Saccharomyces cerevisiae S288C: one gene and its partners. The gene in region 2 interacts genetically with the main gene of each other region. Each region holds a gene or a part of one and is shown on either strand. Other genes may lie near its edges.

What was found.
Region 1: mutations in RSA3 (region 2) and URB2 are lethal when combined (synthetic lethality), as found in Saccharomyces cerevisiae (2 studies listed by BioGRID, with this or other methods).
Region 3: mutations in RSA3 (region 2) and VRL1 together harm fitness more than expected from each alone (negative genetic interaction), as found in Saccharomyces cerevisiae (2 studies listed by BioGRID).

Annotation. Positions count from the first base shown.
Region 1 is NC_001142.9:505,606-515,389, forward strand, and holds URB2 (ribosome biogenesis protein URB2), read right to left. Parts: upstream 8,159-9,784; coding exon 4,634-8,158; downstream 1-4,633. Other genes in the region: MLO127 (Mlo127p), read left to right, coding at 1-1,696; GEF1 (Gef1p), read left to right, coding at 2,141-4,480; NUP85 (Nup85p), read left to right, coding at 8,450-9,784.
Region 2 is NC_001144.5:575,312-582,393, forward strand, and holds RSA3 (Rsa3p), read right to left. Parts: upstream 3,714-7,082; coding exon 3,051-3,713; downstream 1-3,050. Other genes in the region: MSC3 (Msc3p), read left to right, coding at 1-1,026; CCC1 (Ccc1p), read left to right, coding at 1,514-2,482; U3 snoRNA-associated protein UTP13, read right to left, coding at 4,007-6,460; IFH1 (Ifh1p), read right to left, coding at 6,922-7,082. UniProt on the Saccharomyces cerevisiae protein: Required for efficient biogenesis of the 60S ribosomal subunit.
Region 3 is NC_001145.3:261,848-267,254, forward strand, and holds VRL1 (Vrl1p), read left to right. Parts: upstream 1-2,693; coding exon 2,694-4,907; downstream 4,908-5,407. Other genes in the region: lactoylglutathione lyase GLO1, read right to left, coding at 1-838; YML003W (uncharacterized protein), read left to right, coding at 1,636-2,508; Rab family GTPase YPT7, read left to right, coding at 5,327-5,407.

The DNA of each region.
Region 1 (9,784 bases), on a different chromosome or scaffold from region 2:
TTTTTTGACTGTACTTGTTCTGAATGATGAAATAACGGTATTTGATCATTGCAACCGTTTGAAAAGCCAGAAAGTAGTTTTCCATAGACTTTCTGACTTAGCGTCCATTTTCCTATATGAATACGAAAGCACGGTCTACATTTTCATGTCTGACACCGAAGGAAACCTTTGCGTTATGAAATTGGCAACTTTTGAGATCGTAGAAGAGGTTAAAATTTGCAAGAAGAAGTTACAGTTCTGTGAAGTCCCTAACTCAGATTATTTTTTTATATATACAGCCGATACTATAATTTTTTTCAAGCCAAGTAAAATAAAAGGTAGATTTAAAATCCAAGAAGTATATGCACCATGTCCTATAAGCTGTTTGATACCTGGAGAAAAAGATGGCTCAGTTGTTATGGTTACTTCTCAAGGTCAATTTTACGACGTACTTGTTCCTGGTGATGCCGGAAGGGCTACTCTTTGTTCTAAGTTTGAAAAAGTTTTAAAAACATGTCTCAAATTTATAACTTTGGAATCTTCATCAAGATATGTGATTGTAGCGGCCCTGCCAGTAGCAAATCCATTGCAGGACAAGTATTCCGAAATTTATGTGTATGATATTAAACAGTTCAAAAACATTTCCGCATTCAATTTTTCTAACCTCAACAATGATATCGAGAGTATAAAATATGAAAACGCTATGATATCAGATATTATTGCCGTACCCATGCTCAAAAGAACCGAAACATTAGGAAAAAGAAAGACTTCTGAGCTGTATAAGGAAGTGATTTTCAATTCATGTATCTTGGTGTCTCTAAATTTAGACTCAATAGACGGTATTGATAGTAAAAATATGAATAACCTATTATTGTTTTCATTTGATGAGGAATCGGGTTTTATTGAATTTGTTTTTGGGATTAACACGGGGTTCTCAATCAGTGGGTTACATAACTATTACAATGGATGTGTTTTGGTTTATGGGGAGTTTGTGCAAGCTTATCAACTGAACTATTCAGTTCATGATAACAAGTTCAGTATTGAACAGGTTTCAAATAGGTTGAATATTTCTGGTATTACAATAACATCATCTATATTTTTTGATAAAAGGAAGGCAAAGATGGCTAGGAAGCAGCAAAATATAGGTACATGGGTTTATTTGGAAGAAATGATTTTACTTGATGTACGGAAAGGTGTGATGAGGTTCAATGTCATCCATACAACAGACGGTAACATAGAAAAGGTTCAATTGCAGGTACAGCCTCTGAATTTATTTGAGAGGGACCTCATCAATAGCATTACCGACACCGGGAAAATGTTTACCGGTGCAGCCGCTATAACTTTCAAGAATATTAGGTATCTACTAATTTCGTACGGTGATCAAAAGCTCACGTTATTTAGTTTAAAACTTGATGGTGAGGAAGAAATAGACGAAAGAGTGTACCATGTTGCTGAGCAAGTTACAACCATCAACTCTGTAAGAACTACTGATTCCAGAATGAGCACGTTTTTAGGCGAATCTACATTTATGCCCTTATTCTTAGTAAGTACCTTGTCTAACGGTTGTTATGTGATCGGAATCCTGCATGAAGAGTCAGATATCTCATTACATATCTTATCAGAAAAGAAAGCTGTCTTCGCAAAGCGGTCGGTTCAAAAGTTCCTGGGCTTCCTCGATCCTCAAATGGATGATCACACTGTAATATCTGAAATTTAGTGTCTACGTTATGATATATACACTTACAAATTTACTTTCCTTTTTTAGTATAGTTTTCAAGTAAAATTCTTGAAGCGGTGTTGTTTTTGTTTGTTCTTCGTTTAGCAAAAGTCATTGTTAAATACACGCTATAATATGGCCATGACCGTAGGACCGAATGCTGTCCGAAAAATGATACTTATCACACATTTCAAATAAGATCGGTTTTGTAGTTCAAAGATTTCTTAAGAGCCTTTTACGTGTTTCTTAAGAAACACTTCACATTGGCTATCATTATTAGTAAATAGATTTATATGATTTTCACTTATTAAGGACAGAAATGTCGCGATTTCGAACCCATAAAAAAAGGAAAAGCACCGCCTGTTCTCCAGTCTTCATAAAAGCACACCGTATAGAAAGGGCGGTGAATGTTGATCTTGCATACTATAAAATTATTTGACACTAATGCCAACAACTTATGTGCCAATAAATCAACCAATTGGGGATGGTGAAGATGTCATTGACACCAATCGATTCACCAATATTCCAGAAACGCAAAATTTTGACCAATTTGTTACAATTGATAAGATTGCTGAGGAAAATAGACCACTGTCTGTAGACTCGGACAGGGAGTTCCTTAATTCAAAATATCGACATTACCGAGAGGTTATATGGGACCGTGCAAAAACATTTATCACATTAAGCTCTACGGCCATAGTTATTGGATGTATTGCTGGTTTCCTACAAGTCTTCACGGAAACTCTGGTTAACTGGAAAACAGGTCATTGTCAGAGGAACTGGCTACTTAATAAATCCTTCTGTTGTAACGGCGTGGTTAATGAGGTTACCTCTACAAGCAATTTACTACTGAAAAGACAAGAGTTTGAATGCGAGGCACAAGGGCTTTGGATTGCCTGGAAGGGACATGTGTCCCCTTTTATAATTTTCATGCTTTTGTCAGTCTTATTTGCTCTAATTAGTACACTGTTAGTCAAATATGTTGCTCCTATGGCTACTGGTTCAGGAATCTCAGAGATTAAGGTATGGGTATCAGGTTTTGAATACAATAAGGAATTTTTGGGTTTCTTAACATTAGTCATTAAAAGTGTTGCCCTTCCTTTGGCTATTTCTTCGGGATTAAGCGTAGGTAAAGAAGGGCCCTCAGTTCATTATGCAACCTGTTGTGGGTACTTACTCACAAAATGGCTACTAAGAGATACTTTGACGTATTCATCGCAATATGAGTATATCACAGCAGCTAGTGGAGCAGGTGTTGCGGTTGCTTTTGGTGCTCCTATTGGTGGTGTCCTTTTTGGTTTGGAAGAGATTGCTTCTGCGAATAGGTTTAACTCCTCTACCTTATGGAAATCCTATTATGTCGCCCTAGTCGCAATAACTACTTTGAAGTACATTGATCCATTTAGGAATGGCAGAGTTATTTTATTCAATGTAACATATGATAGAGACTGGAAGGTACAAGAGATTCCGATCTTTATAGCCTTAGGAATCTTTGGTGGTTTATATGGAAAATATATTAGTAAGTGGAACATCAACTTTATTCACTTTCGCAAAATGTACCTGTCCTCATGGCCAGTTCAAGAAGTGCTTTTTTTGGCGACGCTTACTGCTTTGATTTCTTACTTCAATGAGTTCTTGAAATTAGACATGACAGAAAGTATGGGTATATTGTTTCATGAATGTGTCAAGAACGATAACACCTCAACTTTTAGTCATAGGTTATGTCAGTTGGATGAAAATACGCACGCTTTTGAGTTCTTAAAAATTTTTACTTCCCTATGCTTTGCCACTGTTATCAGGGCCTTGTTGGTGGTGGTATCATATGGCGCCAGAGTTCCTGCCGGAATCTTTGTTCCTTCAATGGCGGTTGGGGCCACATTTGGACGGGCAGTAAGTCTACTGGTAGAGAGATTTATAAGTGGCCCTTCTGTTATTACTCCTGGTGCCTACGCCTTCCTGGGAGCAGCCGCTACCTTGAGCGGGATAACTAACTTGACTTTAACTGTGGTGGTAATAATGTTCGAGCTAACAGGCGCCTTCATGTATATCATACCCCTTATGATTGTAGTGGCAATAACAAGGATAATTTTAAGCACGTCTGGTATTTCTGGCGGTATTGCTGATCAAATGATCATGGTTAATGGATTCCCATATTTGGAAGACGAGCAAGACGAGGAAGAGGAGGAAACCTTAGAAAAATACACTGCAGAGCAGCTCATGTCCTCCAAATTAATTACTATTAATGAAACCATTTACCTTTCCGAGCTTGAATCTTTGTTGTACGACTCAGCGTCTGAATATTCTGTGCATGGTTTTCCAATAACTAAGGATGAGGATAAGTTTGAGAAGGAAAAAAGATGTATTGGCTATGTTTTAAAAAGGCACTTAGCCAGTAAAATCATGATGCAAAGCGTAAATAGCACCAAAGCTCAAACGACACTGGTATACTTCAATAAGTCTAACGAAGAGTTGGGACATCGTGAAAACTGCATCGGATTTAAGGATATTATGAATGAATCTCCAATCTCGGTGAAGAAGGCGGTGCCAGTAACATTGTTATTCCGTATGTTTAAAGAGCTAGGTTGTAAGACTATCATCGTAGAGGAAAGTGGAATTTTAAAGGGGTTGGTCACTGCTAAAGATATTTTGAGGTTCAAAAGAATTAAGTATCGAGAAGTTCACGGTGCGAAATTTACATATAATGAAGCACTTGATAGAAGATGTTGGTCAGTTATCCATTTCATAATCAAAAGGTTTACCACTAATCGAAATGGTAACGTTATATGATTAGACATTTATGTAATTTTTAAGGCGCTAGTATAGATTATTCAAAATTATATGATACAGACTTTTATCAATTTTTACTTGTTTAAGCTCCGTCACCCTGTTATTAAACGTGAGCAGAGAAATGCCTTTTGAAAACACACTAAAACACATAAGTTAATCTTCGCGCCATTTACCAACCTTTTTGTATTGGAGGTAAAGTGCTTTGAAATATTGTTTCCCAGGTGTGTCAAGGAAAGCGTTCAATTGATTCAACTCGTTCTGAGATAATATATCAAAAATCGCATGAATACCGGGCTGCAGACTCTTTTTTATGTTTAAACTGAACTGCGTCGTAATAGACAACTGTATATATTTCGTTAGAACCACAAGTACATTTTTTCTGATGGACTGCTTTATCAAACTTATCTTTGAGCTTAAGTTATTTTTCTGCCCATTTTGAGCGTTTGATACATTATAAGGCTCGCAGTAGTTCGTTATTAGTCTGGCTACGGCGTCTGCTGAATTTGCACACAATGTACCATCATGAATTGCTATTATTTCTAGTATCTGGCAAAGAACGGAGTTAAACAAATGGTGACGATTGGAAAATTTAAACCTGTGAACTAATAGCATATGATCTATCACTTCGATGATGTTAATAAAGCCTTCATTGATTTCATCCGTTGACTCATGGTTTACTATAAAAGCGAGAGTTTTTAAACAGAAAGGAAGCAGCATTTCAATACAGTATTGGCTGAATAGCCATGGTTTCGATACTAAGAACTCCTTGATAGCATTGAACAGTAGCAAGTATGACTTGTAGCCAAATTTTTCTATATCACAATAGGTGTAGGCTTCAAGTAAAGCTATCACAAATAGGTGATGACCAAGGTTATTGTCTCTTGCAATCCTTTTTGACATTATGATAAAAACTCTCACAAATTTTTCAGCACAAGGTTGGCTAATGGTGGAAAACGATTTAGCACTGTTCCAGAGCAGGCGGTTAAACGCATCAGGACCTTGTTTAAGACTTTCTTCCAAGCAGAACCCCAAGGCAGAATCGCACTTATCTGTATGCTCAATATTTAAGTACTCTGCAAAAATATACTCCAACTTGTTTTCTGTAAGGAGTGAATGAACCAAAAACATTTCCTGTTCTTCTGGCGCATGGTACACTTTTTTAGAATGATATCGAAGCATAATTTTGGAAAATATATCCAGAATTCTCGATTTATGCTTAGAAATATCGCCTTGTCCGGTCGTTATAATCTTGTACAATGTAGACATTGATATTCTGAAAAGGGGAATTGTTTCAGATTCAAAATTTTCAGAGTAGTTTTCCAAAATTTTAACAGCATAGCTAATTGCCATACCTTGTATATCTCTATGCTTGTTATCTGGTTTCAAAAATTTTGCGATAGTAAACCCGGCGATAATTAGTTTGCTATCACCATTGGACAATGACATTGACTGTTTAACGATATCGTAACCAGATTCTAAGAACTTCTCACTCACAGGCTCCTTTGCCTGTGACAGATGATTAGTCCAAACTTTTTCGAAAATAGATATTTTGTCTTCTATTTCCTTTTTTTCATCACCTGTCTCTGAAATGGCCATTTCGGGGCTCATTATTGTTTTCTCACATAATTCGTAGAAATTTGTTTCAATGTTGCTCTTGAAGGTCGGGCTTGACAATAAATGAAGGAGGCATTCTCTAGTAGCGGAATCAAGGCAAAATGATTCGCATGTTAGATTGTTAATGAGAGCCACTCTAACGTTTTTGTTGATGCATTGGATAGGAATTTGAATCAAAGCTTCTAGAGCGAAGGTTTGATGGTATGATGAAGCAAGCTTGTTTATTAAAGCGTACGTGATATTTGTCTCCTCAAAAATGTCATCATTTTTTAATAACGAAGATAAATTTGTCGAGTTCAATAGTAATGAATCAATTAAAGAAGAAATTTGTTCTCTTGTAAAGTTGTTGTTTACTAATGTTGCAAATTTGGACACAACAGAGTATGATAAGTTTGACTTTCTTTCTTCGTCAAGGATTTCAAAGTGCCTCATGAATTTTTTTTTTGCATCAGAAAGATCGAACGAAATATATTCTCTCAATTTGAAGCAATAAAAGAACAGTTCTTCAACATCAGCCGATGTAGTATCAAAAATATTAGAAGATAACACGTAATCGATTTTTTCTAGTTCCTCTGCAGGGACAATATCATCGTAGACTTCCATTATATGATACTTTAGGTCCCATTGAAGACTGTTATTAAATGATTCCAAAGTAAATACTTGAGATAAAATAGGCTTTACCTCATCGAGAGTTGCGCGCGATGCGCCCTCTGATAGTCCCTCCAAGCATATGCGTATTAAATATAAAGGAACCCTGTTGGTGGAATCGTGATTGACTTGGTCAAGTAAAGCTTGCAATAGATTTTTCCATTGTAAAGAAGATAAAGTGAACAATTGCTTCGTTATAGACTTGACATATGCAGGATGATTTATCAAAAAATAGGAATCGGGTCCTTTTCTGGAACAGTACTCATTTATTTTGGCAAAAAAATCTGATAATTCCCTTGCGTTAGCGTGTGATTGGATTATTAAATCCCAAATATGAGAGGAAAAGAGAGGATCGTTCAAATTTTCGAGCTGAATCAATTCAAGTAACCGAAAAATATGTTTAATAGCAACCTCGATATCCAATTTAAGGATAATTGGTATTAATGATAACACTCCAGATTCATCAGTCGACGCTAACATTTCAAGCAATAATGCTTCAAGGAACTCTTGAGATACGGTTTTCTTCGATTCCGATAAAAGATTCAGAAATCTGCATTCTAAACTAGGTTTCTTGGCACCTAAAATTGTAAAGATGACTTCTAGTTGAGCAAAATTGTCTTTTGATAAGAAAGTGACGAAAGTGGCAAAATAATAATAAGCCATATCGTCGGTAATTTCGGACGCATTCTCTTGGACAAACTTTTTATTTAATTTCATGTAATCTATGCGTGGTTGTAAAAGGAACTTTCCCATAAAATGAGATAGACGAATGAAGGATTGGTTTGAAGATGCAGAATTTTTGGTCTGTGCGAAATATCTTAAACTTGGTAGTAGCATATGCTTGCAGTAACAAGTAGCAATTTTGTTATCCGTTGTAGTAATATTGTCAACATGAGTTAGATTGCAGGCATCTTGCAAGTATGAAAGCGCAAAGTCAGTCGTCGGGCACGAACTTAATCCATTTATGGCATGTTCTAAAAGTTGAAAAGACTCTTCAACAGAAAAATTGACAATCAAGTAGTCATTAATCGCAAAAAATGCTTTTATAAACGAAACGCTACGTGTAAGTAATTTGTCTTTAGGCCAAAGGAAAAATGTTCTTATCATTACAGGCACAGTCTTCAATTTTTTGAGTAGTTTTTTTATCGAAATTGGATCATTAATAGCATCTAATAATCTCGTGAAAATTATCCAAGTATGTTCACTGGTCTTAAAATCATCCAAATTTCCATTGTTGAGCCTATCAATGAGTAAATCTAAGACGAAAATTTCTTTTTTTGGAAAGTAGGTTTCTAATTTATCAAATTTTGAAACTATCTCGGCAATTTGATGGGGTTTTGTGCTCGTCGAACGTAGTAATTTCGACAAATCTTGGGCATTGTCTGGGATAGATAGTTCTTCTGTAAGATCACCCATATTATCAAAAAGTGCAGTATACTCTCTGTTTTTCCAAAGATAATTGATGGCAAGCTAAATCTTAGACAGAGATGTTCCTATGCTAGTAAACAATTCTGTAGTTGTGACCAAGTGCCCTCTTAGCGATCATTTTGAGATGAGCTAAGTGAAATTTTTCAGATCGCGCACGACGGAGAGGTTTTTTAGTTGGATGGAAGTCAAGCCTTGTACAAATTGTAGTTGTATAGAAAACATTGAACTTACGGTCTTGAGTTGAGTCAATAAGCGTGAGCCAGAACGCAATTATCAGATATGACAATCGATGATTCAAATCGATTACTTATGGACGTCGATCAATTTGATTTTTTGGACGACGGAACGGCGCAACTTAGTAATAACAAGACCGATGAAGAAGAACAACTATATAAAAGGGACCCAGTCAGCGGGGCTATCCTGGTCCCTATGACTGTAAATGATCAACCGATTGAAAAAAATGGCGACAAGATGCCTTTAAAGTTCAAGCTGGGGCCACTTTCTTACCAAAATATGGCATTCATAACTGCAAAAGATAAATATAAGCTTTATCCTGTTAGAATTCCTAGATTAGATACCAGCAAAGAGTTTTCTGCATACGTATCAGGTTTATTTGAAATTTACCGTGATTTAGGTGATGACAGAGTGTTTAATGTACCAACGATTGGAGTTGTTAATTCTAATTTCGCGAAGGAGCATAATGCAACAGTAAATCTGGCCATGGAGGCGATTCTGAATGAATTGGAAGTGTTTATTGGTAGAGTCAAGGATCAGGATGGAAGAGTGAACCGATTTTATGAGTTGGAAGAATCTTTAACCGTTTTAAACTGTCTGAGGACAATGTACTTCATATTAGATGGTCAGGATGTAGAGGAGAACAGATCAGAGTTTATTGAGTCATTGCTAAACTGGATTAATAGATCAGACGGTGAACCAGATGAAGAATATATTGAACAAGTGTTTTCAGTGAAGGATTCTACAGCAGGTAAAAAAGTGTTCGAAACACAATATTTCTGGAAGCTTTTGAATCAGCTTGTTTTAAGAGGCCTGCTCTCCCAAGCTATAGGTTGCATTGAAAGATCAGATCTTTTACCATATTTGAGTGATACATGTGCCGTTTCATTTGATGCAGTAAGTGACTCCATCGAACTCCTGAAACAATATCCAAAAGATTCGTCCAGTACATTTAGAGAATGGAAAAATTTGGTGCTAAAATTAAGTCAAGCCTTTGGTAGTTCTGCTACTGATATTTCCGGTGAATTACGGGATTACATTGAAGATTTCTTGTTAGTAATTGGTGGAAATCAACGAAAAATTCTGCAGTATTCAAGGACGTGGTATGAGTCCTTTTGTGGGTTTTTATTATACTATATCCCCTCATTAGAACTATCAGCAGAATATTTACAAATGTCACTGGAAGCTAACGTCGTAGACATAACAAATGATTGGGAACAACCATGCGTCGACATCATTAGTGGTAAGATACACTCAATTTTACCGGTAATGGAATCTTTAGATAGTTGCACAGCAGCATTTACCGCTATGATTTGTGAAGCAAAAGGTTTGATAGAGAATATTTTTGAGGGTGAAAAAAATAGCGATGATTATAGTAAT
Region 2 (7,082 bases):
AGCAGTAGTGATTCTCCGACGGCGACTGCTAATCTTGTCAAATCTAATGTCGAGGTTCAACCAAAAAGATTTACAAGTTCCTTCTTCAGCAGAAATACTAAAAGCGCCCCCCATGAAGTGCACAATCACTCTGTGTCTACACATTTTAAATCGAATAAGGCTGTTGACCCAGTTCCAGAGCCTAAAAGTGCAAACACAGGGCTAACAGATAAAGAAATGTATGACCAAGCTTTGAAAATCGCACAAGCGAGGTATTACAACTCACATGGTATTCAACCTGAAGCAGTCGATAATAGCACTACGGCGGCTAAACCTCGTCAGGTCGGCGTTAGCCATCTGGGATCCACTGGGAGCATCCCGCCCAATGAGCAGCACTATTTAGGGGATTCTGAAATTCCAGTCCAAAGCGAAGTGCATGAATACGAGCCCATTCCATTGCAGAAGACAAAAACAACTGGTTCTTCCAAAAATAAGTTCAAAACCATGTTCGATAAAGTGCTGCAATTCTCTCAAGAAAACTACGGCTACCAGCACAAGAAGGAACAAGGCGAACAAACTCCAGTTACTCGTAATGCTGAAGAAAGCTTCCCAGCAGCGTCTATTTCGGAAGGTGTGACAACCGCAAAGCCATCTTCAAACGAAGGTGTGATGACGAATCCAGTAGTTACAGATTCACCTTCACCCCTTCAACAACAAATAGACTCGACTACTGCGTCCTCGAATGGGCAAAGTCAGGGCAATGTACCTACCTCCGCAGTAGCTTCAACAACGAGAACAAGATCACCGGAACTGCAGGATAATCTAAAGTCTTCTTCTTCGCTTTTACAGGACCAAACCCCTCAGCGTCAGGAAGACGCCACGGATCCAACAACATCATCGACGAATGAATTATCTGCCGCTGAGCCAACAATGGTCACTTCGACACATGCCACTAAGACAATACAGGCTCAAACACAAGATCCTCCCACGAAGCACAAGAAGTCCAGTTTCTTCACTAAACTGTTCAAGAAAAAAAGCAGCCGTTAGCAGTTGTTTACTCGAATTTTGCAATCAACCCTAATTTTTGAAGCCTGGTTTTAGATTTATTCTCTTCTTTTTCTTCTTGTGAACTTCAATTACTAATGTAACTTAATTTTTAATATAACTTTTACAGTTTAATAATATTGATTTTTTTCGGTCTGGACCAATCGCGCCGCATTTCTCACTAATATTACTAACATACCCTCTTCTCATTGGCTCGGTACCCCTTTCGTGACCCGCATTTTTTGTTTTCTTTGTTAGCCCGAATGTCTCACAATGAAGATGTAAAATTAAGATTATATATGAAAAATTGATACAAAACAAAATAGTTCAAATAATCAAGTTAAAGCGACATCACTCTCAATTTTTGCTTTTTTTAGGTTTATAGAATAGAAATATAACAGAACGAAGCCTTTAGACTCTTTTTTTTTATTGGTATATTGAACAAAGAAACTTTTTTTTTGTCCTCCCATATCTCGTGCACACAAATATTATGTCCATTGTAGCACTAAAGAACGCAGTGGTGACCCTTATACAGAAAGCGAAAGGTAGTGGTGGAACCTCAGAGTTGGGGGGGTCTGAATCAACTCCCTTGTTGAGGGGTAGTAATAGCAATAGTTCAAGGCATGATAACTTATCCTCATCTAGCTCGGATATTATCTATGGTAGAAATTCAGCGCAGGATCTAGAAAACTCACCGATGTCAGTAGGGAAAGATAATAGGAATGGCGATAACGGTTCGGATAACGAAAAGGCGAACCTAGGGTTCTTCCAATCAGTAGATCCTCGCGTAATTAGCGATTTGATTATCGGGCTAAGCGACGGTTTAACCGTCCCCTTTGCTCTAACAGCTGGTCTATCTTCACTTGGTGATGCGAAATTGGTCATTACCGGTGGCTTTGCTGAGTTGATCTCAGGTGCGATTTCTATGGGCCTTGGTGGCTATTTGGGAGCGAAGAGTGAATCTGATTATTATCATGCTGAAGTAAAGAAGGAGAAAAGGAAATTTTACGATAACTCCAACCTAATTAACAGAGAAATTGAAGACATTCTGTTAGAGATTAACCCTAATTTCTCGGACGAAACAATCGTTTCGTTCATCAAAGATTTACAAAGAACACCTGAGCTAATGGTTGACTTCATTATCAGGTACGGTAGGGGTCTAGACGAACCTGCCGAGAATAGAGAACTAATCAGTGCAGTCACTATCGGTGGCGGTTATCTACTTGGTGGGCTAGTACCACTAGTGCCATATTTTTTTGTCTCAGATGTGGGCACAGGTCTCATTTATTCTATAATAGTCATGGTTGTAACATTATTCTGGTTTGGTTACGTAAAGACAAAACTATCCATGGGTAGTGGCAGTTCGACTTCAAAGAAAGTTACGGAAGGTGTTGAAATGGTTGTTGTGGGTGGTGTAGCAGCAGGTGCGGCTTGGTTCTTTGTTAAGTTACTGGGTTAAGTGTAAAGTAACAACACTATACATATTTATTGTAAAGAAATTTGGGATTGAGAAGCTTTGCTATATACTTGGAACTGGGCTGGATTTTCTCGACATACATTTCTTTTACGTTTTAATTTGTTTCTATATTCTCCTCTTTAAATTTATTTATATTAATGAATTTCAAACTAGTTTCTTTTTCTATTGCCAAGAGGCCCATCAGGTGATCCATGATAACCTTTATTCGCATTGAATCGTTTTTCATTGGATCTAATTCGTCATTTGGTCGCCGCCTTTCTTTGCTCCTTCTGCTTTTTTCTTTTTCTCTTTGACTATCAGGTCATAAGATCTTCTCCTCCATTATGCCCAAGTGTTTTTCTTTTTTTTGCCTTTATATAAATTACAAAATACATACATATACTTCTCGTGCAGTATACTGGAATCAGCTTTATACCATATGAAGCACAACTTGGATCAGGACCGCTCTTCATTAAAAATCGAAGAATTATCTAAATAATTAATGTGCACGTCAATATATTCTCCGCGGAAACATGACAAACTTTTAGAAAAAGATTTAAAGCAATATTTTTCAGTTCTCCATTTCTTTATTTTTCAAGACCAATTCTAGTTCACCAATATCAAACATTCCTATGCCTTCCTGCAGAGCATCTGCCAAAATGGATAGTGATTTATTCGTGAAATCCGGGGCAGCTCTAAGACGATTGATATCATCACCGTAGTTTTCAAAAAGTAAATTTAAGTATTCTTCCCTTAACTTTGTCTTGTCTTTCCCTTTGGGCACAAAGTTTTCTGCCAATTCATTGTATTCTTCTCTCGCAAGCTTGATATTTTCGGCAATTTTCGATGCATTCATAAAACCCTCCTTGTTTTGAGATTTCGTAGGCTCTGGGATCTTGCTCAAAGAAATTTTGGTTAAATCGTCTATCACTTCTTTTGAATTTAACTTCAAATCCTTGCTTTCTTCGTCTGTAAGCTCGACATCCGAAACTTCTATTGCAATGTCCTCTTGTTTGTCTTCGTCATTACCTTTTGAGAAAACATGATCACTTTTACCATTTTCTCCAACGTGTTCTTCGATGGCCCCATTTTGGATTTCCTCCTTTTCACTTTCTGATGATGGATCCGATGATGAAGAATCTGATGATGAAACATCAGCTGTTCTTCTCTTCTTCCTCCTTCTGTTTTTTTTGACAGACTTGATATTTATGGCTGATATATCACCTGCCGACATCCTGTATAATATATTATGGCTAGTTCTTTCCGTGCTATTTCAAGTGGGCAGTTTAAATTCTTGTATATATTACTACAATATATGAAAGTTTTCGCTCTTCGTTTTTTGCAAATTTTTAGTGATGAGCTCTTCGCGCAAAGAAGTTTTCAATGCCCGTAAAGGCACCTAATTATATATCGAATTATTTTAAGCTTTCCGCTTCATCAATGCATTTTGTCTTTATATATCTAGTTTACAAAATAATATGTTGCTATTGCCTTGCTTTTAAAGGCTCAATATCTTGGACTTACTGCCTAGAATAGCTTATCCATTTCCACTAGCGCGTAGTCTAATATGTAACTTTGTTCAACTAAGTTATCAACCCTTGTGAAATGCCTTTGCGTGTATGGAATTATTGCATCAACTATCTTTACCATTCCGGGTATCTCACTCAATTTTGCTATGTTATGATGCATCAAAATACATCTTATTGTTCTTTGCGCTATGGTATGTGTTTTTGCATTTGTATTCCAATCTCTGCATCGTTTCATTAACAAAATTAACTGTTCATCATTTAGGATAGAGATGGCTTGGTCCAATTCTTCATTGAAAATGACTTCAATTTTGCCCTCTTCGGTATCTTGTCTAGACCTTGATTCGCCCAAAGCTCTTTTCAAAACATTAAACAACCTCATTGGGTGATCTAAAGTCATTGCTAACAAAAATGCATTTGTCCAATCACCTTTGCTCATATAATTTTGAAGCGATTGTTCTTGTTCGACTTGTAATTTAGCTTTTTCTTGTTCTTCTTCTATTTCTTGTTCCGTACAATCTTTCCAAAACTGAAAAACACCATCTGCATCAGCACTTACGATCATATCACCATCATTCATAGTACTTAAAGCCCATAATCTATTATTATGACCATCCAAAGTCTTCAGACATTCACCGCTAGAACAATCCCATATTTTGATCAAGCCATCAGCACCACAACTGATCAGTTGTTTTTGCTTATTAATAAACGAACATCTTTGAACCGCATTGGTATGACCTTCCAATGTTTTCATAACGCTGAATGTATCCAATGACCATATCTTGACTGTTTTATCACCTGAAGAAGTTGCCAATAATTTATCATATTGGCAAAATGATACATCCCATAGTCCACGCTTGTGGTTGGCCAACGTGGCTTCCAATTCACCATTTTCTAGGTTCCAGATCTTACAGGTCTTGTCGTATGATGCTGTTGCAAAAATAGAATCGTTAGGAGAAACTGACAAAGCATTGATATCCTTTTCATGGGCATGACGAGTATATTCGGATACCTTGATGATTTGAACATCCATACTAGCAGTTGGCTTTGGAATTATCCATTTCTTAATTGTTAAATCATTCGATGCTGTCAATAAAAATTCAGGATATCCCTTTGAAACTATATTTGGCAATCCAACAGCAGTTACGGCAGCTGAATGACCAATATACTTGGCATAAATATCAAACTTGCAGCTGTTCTCATTGTATCTCCAAACAATAGCCGTATTATCTTTAGAGGCGGTTGCGATCCACAGGCCATCCTCAGTAGCATCCAATGAATTTAGCAAATCTTCATGACCTTCATAAATTTCGACATCCAAAGGCAGCGAAGCTTCTGGGCCTGATAAATCGGGGACGGGTATTATCCTAAGCGATGGAGAATTGGTAGCTAAAGCTAATTTATTCAGCTCTGGGCCAACATACCTCATGTCAGCAATAATACCATGATTACCAGCAATGCTCGAAGTGACCTGTATTGTGTCTTCATCATTCTTTAAGTCTTCTTCAACGTTAATTAGTTGTAATGTCTGGTCAGACAATACTAAAAACATCTGTGAATTGCTCAATATTGGAAGTACACCAATAATGAATAACTCTTCTATAGGTTTATTGGTTCTTTTAAGCACGCTACCAGATTCAGAGTCAATTAACTGAAAGATAGCATCACCGCCGGCTGTATAAATTATGCGTTTACCGTCACCATCCTTTAGGAATCCGCATGACTCTACCTGTTGATTTACTGGAAGTGTTTTCAACAATTTACATTTCTTTTTCATATTGAAATCCCAGAGATTGATGATATCGTCTCTACCACCGGAAAGTAAATTTAGGCTTGGCTCATCATTATCTGGTACCTCAATGATATCCAACCCTCTCACAGCAGATGTGTGCTCTTGTAATGTGTGCAAGCACTTCCTTTTAACAAGATCCCAAACCTTTACCATACCATTGGTGTCACCGGATGCTAATAACCATATTTTACTATTCAATTGTCCATAAAACTTCAAACTGGAAATTGTACCACCATGACCTTTGAACGAATGAGTAATGTAACCATTTTCAATATCCACAACAATTATACTACCATCTGTCCCTCCGACTGCGAGAAGCGTTGAAGTGGAATCTGCGTCGAGAATGTACGATGGAGAAGAGATTTTCATTGATCTGACAACTTTCCCGGTCTTAAGGTGAAAGATTTTTAAAAGCTGAGCTTGTGAAACATACGTGAGATATTGACCATCAGGAGTTAATTTCAGTGCAGTAATTTCTTGCTCGTCTTCATTAGAAATCTTGTGCAAAATTTTTCTGGAGCCTGGGGTTAAATCGATTATGTTGATTTCGTCAAGCACCGGAGTAGCTAGTATTTTACCATTTTCTGAAACAGTGGCAACAGCACTGCTTCCTGCATAAATAGGGTTTAACGATATACCTTTATATGAGGTTTTCAGATCCATATTGTACGTAGTATGGCTTACTACCGTTGAGAGTACTATGTTGTTGGTTCACACCTTTAATGCCATACCGCTATTATATCTGAGAGCGATGAGCTGAATTTTTCAGAAAATTTTCAGTCGCTTTACACGGATATATTAAGAAGCTCCATCTTAATCGCCAGAAGAGTGGATGAGGTTATCATCTCAACTAGAGTCGAAGAGTAAGGCAATCCATCAAATGGGGTTGCTTGAGGCTTATTTACTTTTATACGTCTGATTGGACGGATTATACCAGTAAAAAAAATATTGATTGTGTTTTTCTATAAAAATATGCATATATAAGTAAAAAAATAACATGTAATTCTTTTCAACCAACGATAAAGCAAAATTCAGAGTAGAATAAGGCAAAGTCACATACTGATGATGATATTGTAAACGAAAGGTGATTTGATTGTAGTAACCATAAAAAAATGCAAAATAGCTCATTGTAAGACGTCATTGAATTCGAATGAATGGTTAACATCATTGCCCATAATTCCTTCGATATCTGCCAATGCACTCTCACTAAATAAACCATTTTTAGTGAAACGAAGATTTTCAGCCGCTGCTTCCACCATACTTTGCCTTCTTCTCCACATGGAAT
Region 3 (5,407 bases), on a different chromosome or scaffold from region 2:
GGGCGCCAGCGTCATCACAACTTATGCAGATGTGACCATAACCCTGGGGCTCTGAGTTACCGTTATGATAGTGGAAGTTTGGATCATTCTCAGTTCCCCAATTATGAGTTAACTCCAACACACTTTCACATGAAAAAACGCTGTCGGTCTTTGGAACGCCATAACCAAGAAAGTATAACGTAAATTTTGCACTTTCGTGCTCACTAGTTCTTAATAATTTCATGCCCAACACATTCTGGTAGAATTCTAAAGACCGGGTTGGGTTTTTAATACGAATCATGGTATGATTGAACTTGTTACCTACTGAGCCCTTTGGGTATTCCTGACCCTCTCTAGAATATGTGATCAACTCAATCCAGTATCCATCAGGGCCTAAAGCAAACGCAATGTCCTTCTGTCTTCCTTCAGAGAGTCTCTTCTTGAATTTGACACCCTGAGATTCTAGCTCTTCGCAGGTTTTATTGATATCGGATACAGAAAAACAGATGTGCCCAAATCCACGATGAGGTTCCTCATTCCCGTTGTTGATCTTGTAGTCTGGGTTTTTTTCAGTACCCCAATTGTGAGTTAGTTCTAAGACACCGTGTGCGCTAAAAACATCAGGCTCTCCATTCTTATTTTTGGGTATGTCGTCTTTTGGAAAGCTTAAAAAGTACAAGCTAAATTTTGCTTCTTCAAAATCCTTTCTGCTTAATAGCTTCATACCGAAGTGTTCGGTGTAGAACTTAACGGTCCTTGCTGGATCCTTGACTCTTAAACATGTGTGATTAAGCAGAAGGGTTGGATCATTCGAGGCTTTCTCAATCTGAATTGGATAGCGTGTACTATCAGTGGACATTGTTAGTTTGTAGCTGGTGGCGTATCTGGTCTGAAGTGTCAAAAAAAAGGCATGGAAATGTTATTCCGATTTTTTTTCTCCCTATTTATAAACGTCACTAACTAGAAATACGGGATATCAACTACTACGAGAGAGGGACATTCTAGTATCAAAGAAACTTACTATGACGCAGTTTAGGATCCCTGTGGTGACTACGTATCCAGGTCTACTACTCCATCGTAAAGCCCCTTGTTTATTCAGTGTCCAGATCATATGCGGGATGTGTATTTTGTGCTGAGTGGAAAAATAAGATCATATGCTCAAGAATAAAGGGTTAAAGGGTATGGAAATTTCAGTTCTCCCTGGCTCAAGAACATTGTCAGTATTCCTATAACTGAAGCTGAGTGGTACTAATGCACCGAGATGCAAAGTCCGAACCACCCCCACCCCCCTCTTTACCTATTTTTTATATTTTGTGATAAAGGGATAACTCGTCTTGCCTTCACTGCGCTTCGATTCTACTTTAGCTAAACTAAGCGTTACTTTGTTTGAGAATCTCTCAGCCGTTAAATCAACGTACTTGTATACTAAACAGTATATTCACGTGATAACTTTGCCTTACACCTATGATATAGATAAATATATACATATATATGAGTGTGTGTGCATTGCGTCACTAAACTATGTTTAATATGACAGAAGGTTTTCGTTTAATTTTGCCGCTACCCGAAAATTTTGGCAGTTGCAATTTATAACTAAAGGAACCACCTTATTGTAAATTCCTCAACGGAAAAGCTATGGCTTAGCTAGGGTTGACAATGTCAGTTTACCATTTACCAACGCTGTTGAACCCGCTGGTTAATGCTATATTTAACTGTCCCGAACCAGAAAGATCCCCATTGAAAAAGCTTTTCGCTAATTTAAAAACCCGTAGGTTTATCCTCCTAGCACCTCCTTCAGAATACCTTTTGAATTACCACGATGTCAAGAGCAAACTGCCGTTACATGACCTCTGTTATAATGCAGAGTTTATTAACTCTTACATATTGTTAATGACTGAAAACTCTTACATAAATACGAATTCAAGGGACAGTCATTATGAAACGTTAGATGGTAAGACCGTTGTTATTCAATGGAAGAATAATGTGATCCATGCCTTAAATGGATTTCATATAAGGCGAAGACTAAAGATTCTAGAGACAAAAATATTACCCAATTTTAATGACTACTTTGAAGGGGCGGCTGATTTTATCATACTATTCATAGATCAACCTTTAAATTGCGAATTTGTACCTAACGACTACTTACAGTGTTTTCACAATTATGAGAAAATACCAAAAAATGCACATGCTATGCCAAATCTGTCGATAGATTCTTTTCAGCAAGAAAGATCGTCATTCGAGAATATATTGCACATTCATCCTGCTCGATTAACACAGCTTGGCCAATTGTTTTCGAGTTACAGAACGCTCGCTCCTGGTGATGATCCATCTAGAAGTATTTTTGAAAGCATCGTGCAACAAGCATTTGATGGAATGAAATCGGATTCACTTTTCAAGAACTTTTCTAATCTTTACGATCTTATACACGACTATTTTGAACTAAATCTTTACGATGATATATGGTCTAGGCTTACTACACATTTCAAAGGCCACGAAGTAGACACTGAAAAAATAAATATTTTTCAGTGAACCAGTTGTTGACAGATTTTTACTCAAAAGATTATGGGGAATTTAAATTACACGACATCACTCTTATTGAAAGGCGTCTCCATCTAGCGTCCAAACATCTTCAAAAGTTGGCTTTGACCCATTCATACGCTGAAAAATCTAAAATATTAGTTGAAACTCTACAGAAATTATCAGGTACTACCGAAATGGATTCACATCAACTAGAACTACCAGACGGATTGAATAACATGACGATGGATGCAGACACTTTAATTAGCCTTTTTGTGCTCGTTGTTTGCAGAAGTGAACAAAAGCACCTTAAAAGTCATCTTTACTATTTGCAAAATTTTTCGAATAACTCTTCTTCTACAAAATTCGGCATTCTAGGGTATGCTGTATCCACACTGGAAGCAGTGGTTTGTTATTTCGAAGACTTCAACAAAAATACAGGCAACGTGGCGAAAGCTAACACATTATGTGAAAAAACTAAGAATTTATTAGATAAGTTGTCATGTGAAAACCCCACAAATGAAGTAGAAGATCTGGCAACATACAAGGATATTTTGACCTACAGAAATGAGCAAGGACAATCCATTCTATCCATATGTATAACAAATCATAAAAACTACATCTTATTAGATATTCTTTCTGAATATGAAAACGACTTTCCAGTAGAAGACCTTTTAGAGGACGAAACGATTGATGGTTCTACGCTGCTTATAGAATCGATAAAAGCAGGAAATTTAGAAGCCGCGAAAGTTCTCATAAAGATCATGCTGTTCAATTGTACTGAAGAGGAGCTGGTTTCTTATATCAATAAAACAGATAAATATGCACGTACCGTGGCTCATTATCTAACCCATGAAATGGATATACTTAAAAGCATCGGAAATTATATTGATTGGAAACGAAAAAATTCCAGTGGACAAACGCCTTTATTTTCCATCTTTAGAAGTTATGATCAACCAAATTATGAAGAAATGGTGAAGACCGCATTTGATATCGCAAATACTTGGTATAGAAAGCACAACAGTTTGTTTGACTATCTAGACCACACCGATAATAAGGGCAATAGCTTGTTGCATGTTTTGAAAACAAACATTCCAATCCTTTTACAACTGACTAAGCTAGATATTAATGAGGAAAATTATAAGGGATTGACGCCATTAATGGTATATGTGAAGTACAAAAGACTAAGTAATATTGACGCCATCACGAAAGACCGTCGACTTATATTAGAGAAGGTTCAAAACTCGACCTTCTTCACTTGTTTTGATTATGCAAAAGATCACTCGGTACTAAGCAAGATAGGAGAAAGGGGTGTCAAAGATTCACTTTTTGGATTAATATATTTTCATTCTTTGCGATATCATAATTTAAATGCGACAACAAATATAACATCCGTTTCAAATGCAGAGAAACCTTTCGCCACTACTGTTATTAACATGAAAACAATTCAAGGCTTACTACGCTCAATTCTGAAAGACAATCCGTTCACCTTTTTGCCATTAAATACCTATATCGATGAAATATCGCACTTAAACCGTTCTGATTTAACAATAATCGGGAAAACAGATGTCACATCGTTACTTCACCAATTAACTAACTGCTTCAACGTTCTTTTATTCCTGAAAAAAATTCCAGAAAATTTGTTCACTGATGAGGCTTCTATCTTATATTGGATGCGCATAAACACTTCTAAAAGAAACCAGAAACCCTCAGGAAAAGAAAATCCAAAAACAATGGAACCCGAGGAGATTAATATGATACAAAGCTTTTTACGTTTTAATTTTGATGAGATTTCATCATTTAAGGCAAGCTTGAATATTTTGAGGAAAGTCTTAATATTTATTAATTTGAAATCCGATGATTTCGAGGATGCTTATAAGGGTCTTAACGAAATGGGTAGAAAATTAATTAATAGTGAAGCATCCAGCGCATTTAAGGGGATTATAACAAATCATAATATGTTCAGTGAATTATCGCTAGCAGCACTACTAGAAAACGTGCGTTTCTTGGAACAATGTACTATCCAACTATCTAGTTTCGTTCAGATAATTTTATTTGAAAAAATTCCGAACTGGTGGAAACATTATGGTGAGTTTTTAGCTTTACATAAAAGCTATCGGAAGGCTTTTCCTAACATGGTTAAGCCAAAAAGTGCATCAGATACCTCTAGTCGTGCTCCACTTGGTGGTTTTATTGAAACGAAGCGTGAACAATCGGAGCAAAGACTAGCGGTTCAGATAAAGGCCTCTTCAAAAATGCTCAAAGAACTTGGAAGCGAAATTTTTGTAGCTCACGAAAGGTTGGCCGAGGAACTAAGCAATTATATGGAGTTCAGGAAGGCGTGCTTAGATCAGCGTAGTCTTGTGGCATTTGCCACAACCAACATTAGCGTTCTTCAAGAATGTGTTTAAGATTGACTGAGCATTGCAATATTTTACCTTCTTCTCACTTGTTCTATAGAATTTTTTACCCAAAAATAAGAGATAAAGAGTTTGAAAGAAACATCATTACATATATATATATATACGGGCAGCTCCGTAACTCGAAAAGAGTGACAGCTGTTTTACTCTGTAATAGCTGACGATTCTTCAGTGATTGGAATAACCTCAGAACTCACCGGTACGGGTAACGTTTGTATCTCGCGGATTAACTTTTCGCATTTCGACCTACTGAGAGAAGAAGTTCCTTTTGTTAATCTGTACCTTTATCTTGAAAGCAGTCGTTACAGAGGAACAGCATTGGGAATCACCAACAAAATAAGAGGAATAAGCTCATCCAGTCCACTTCTTATCCATATAGAAACCCCTTCTGTATCAATTCAAATTAAGTGATGTCTTCTAGAAAAAAAAATATTTTGAAAGTAATCATCCTAGGTGACTCTGGTGTTGGGAAGACCTCCTTGATGCACCGT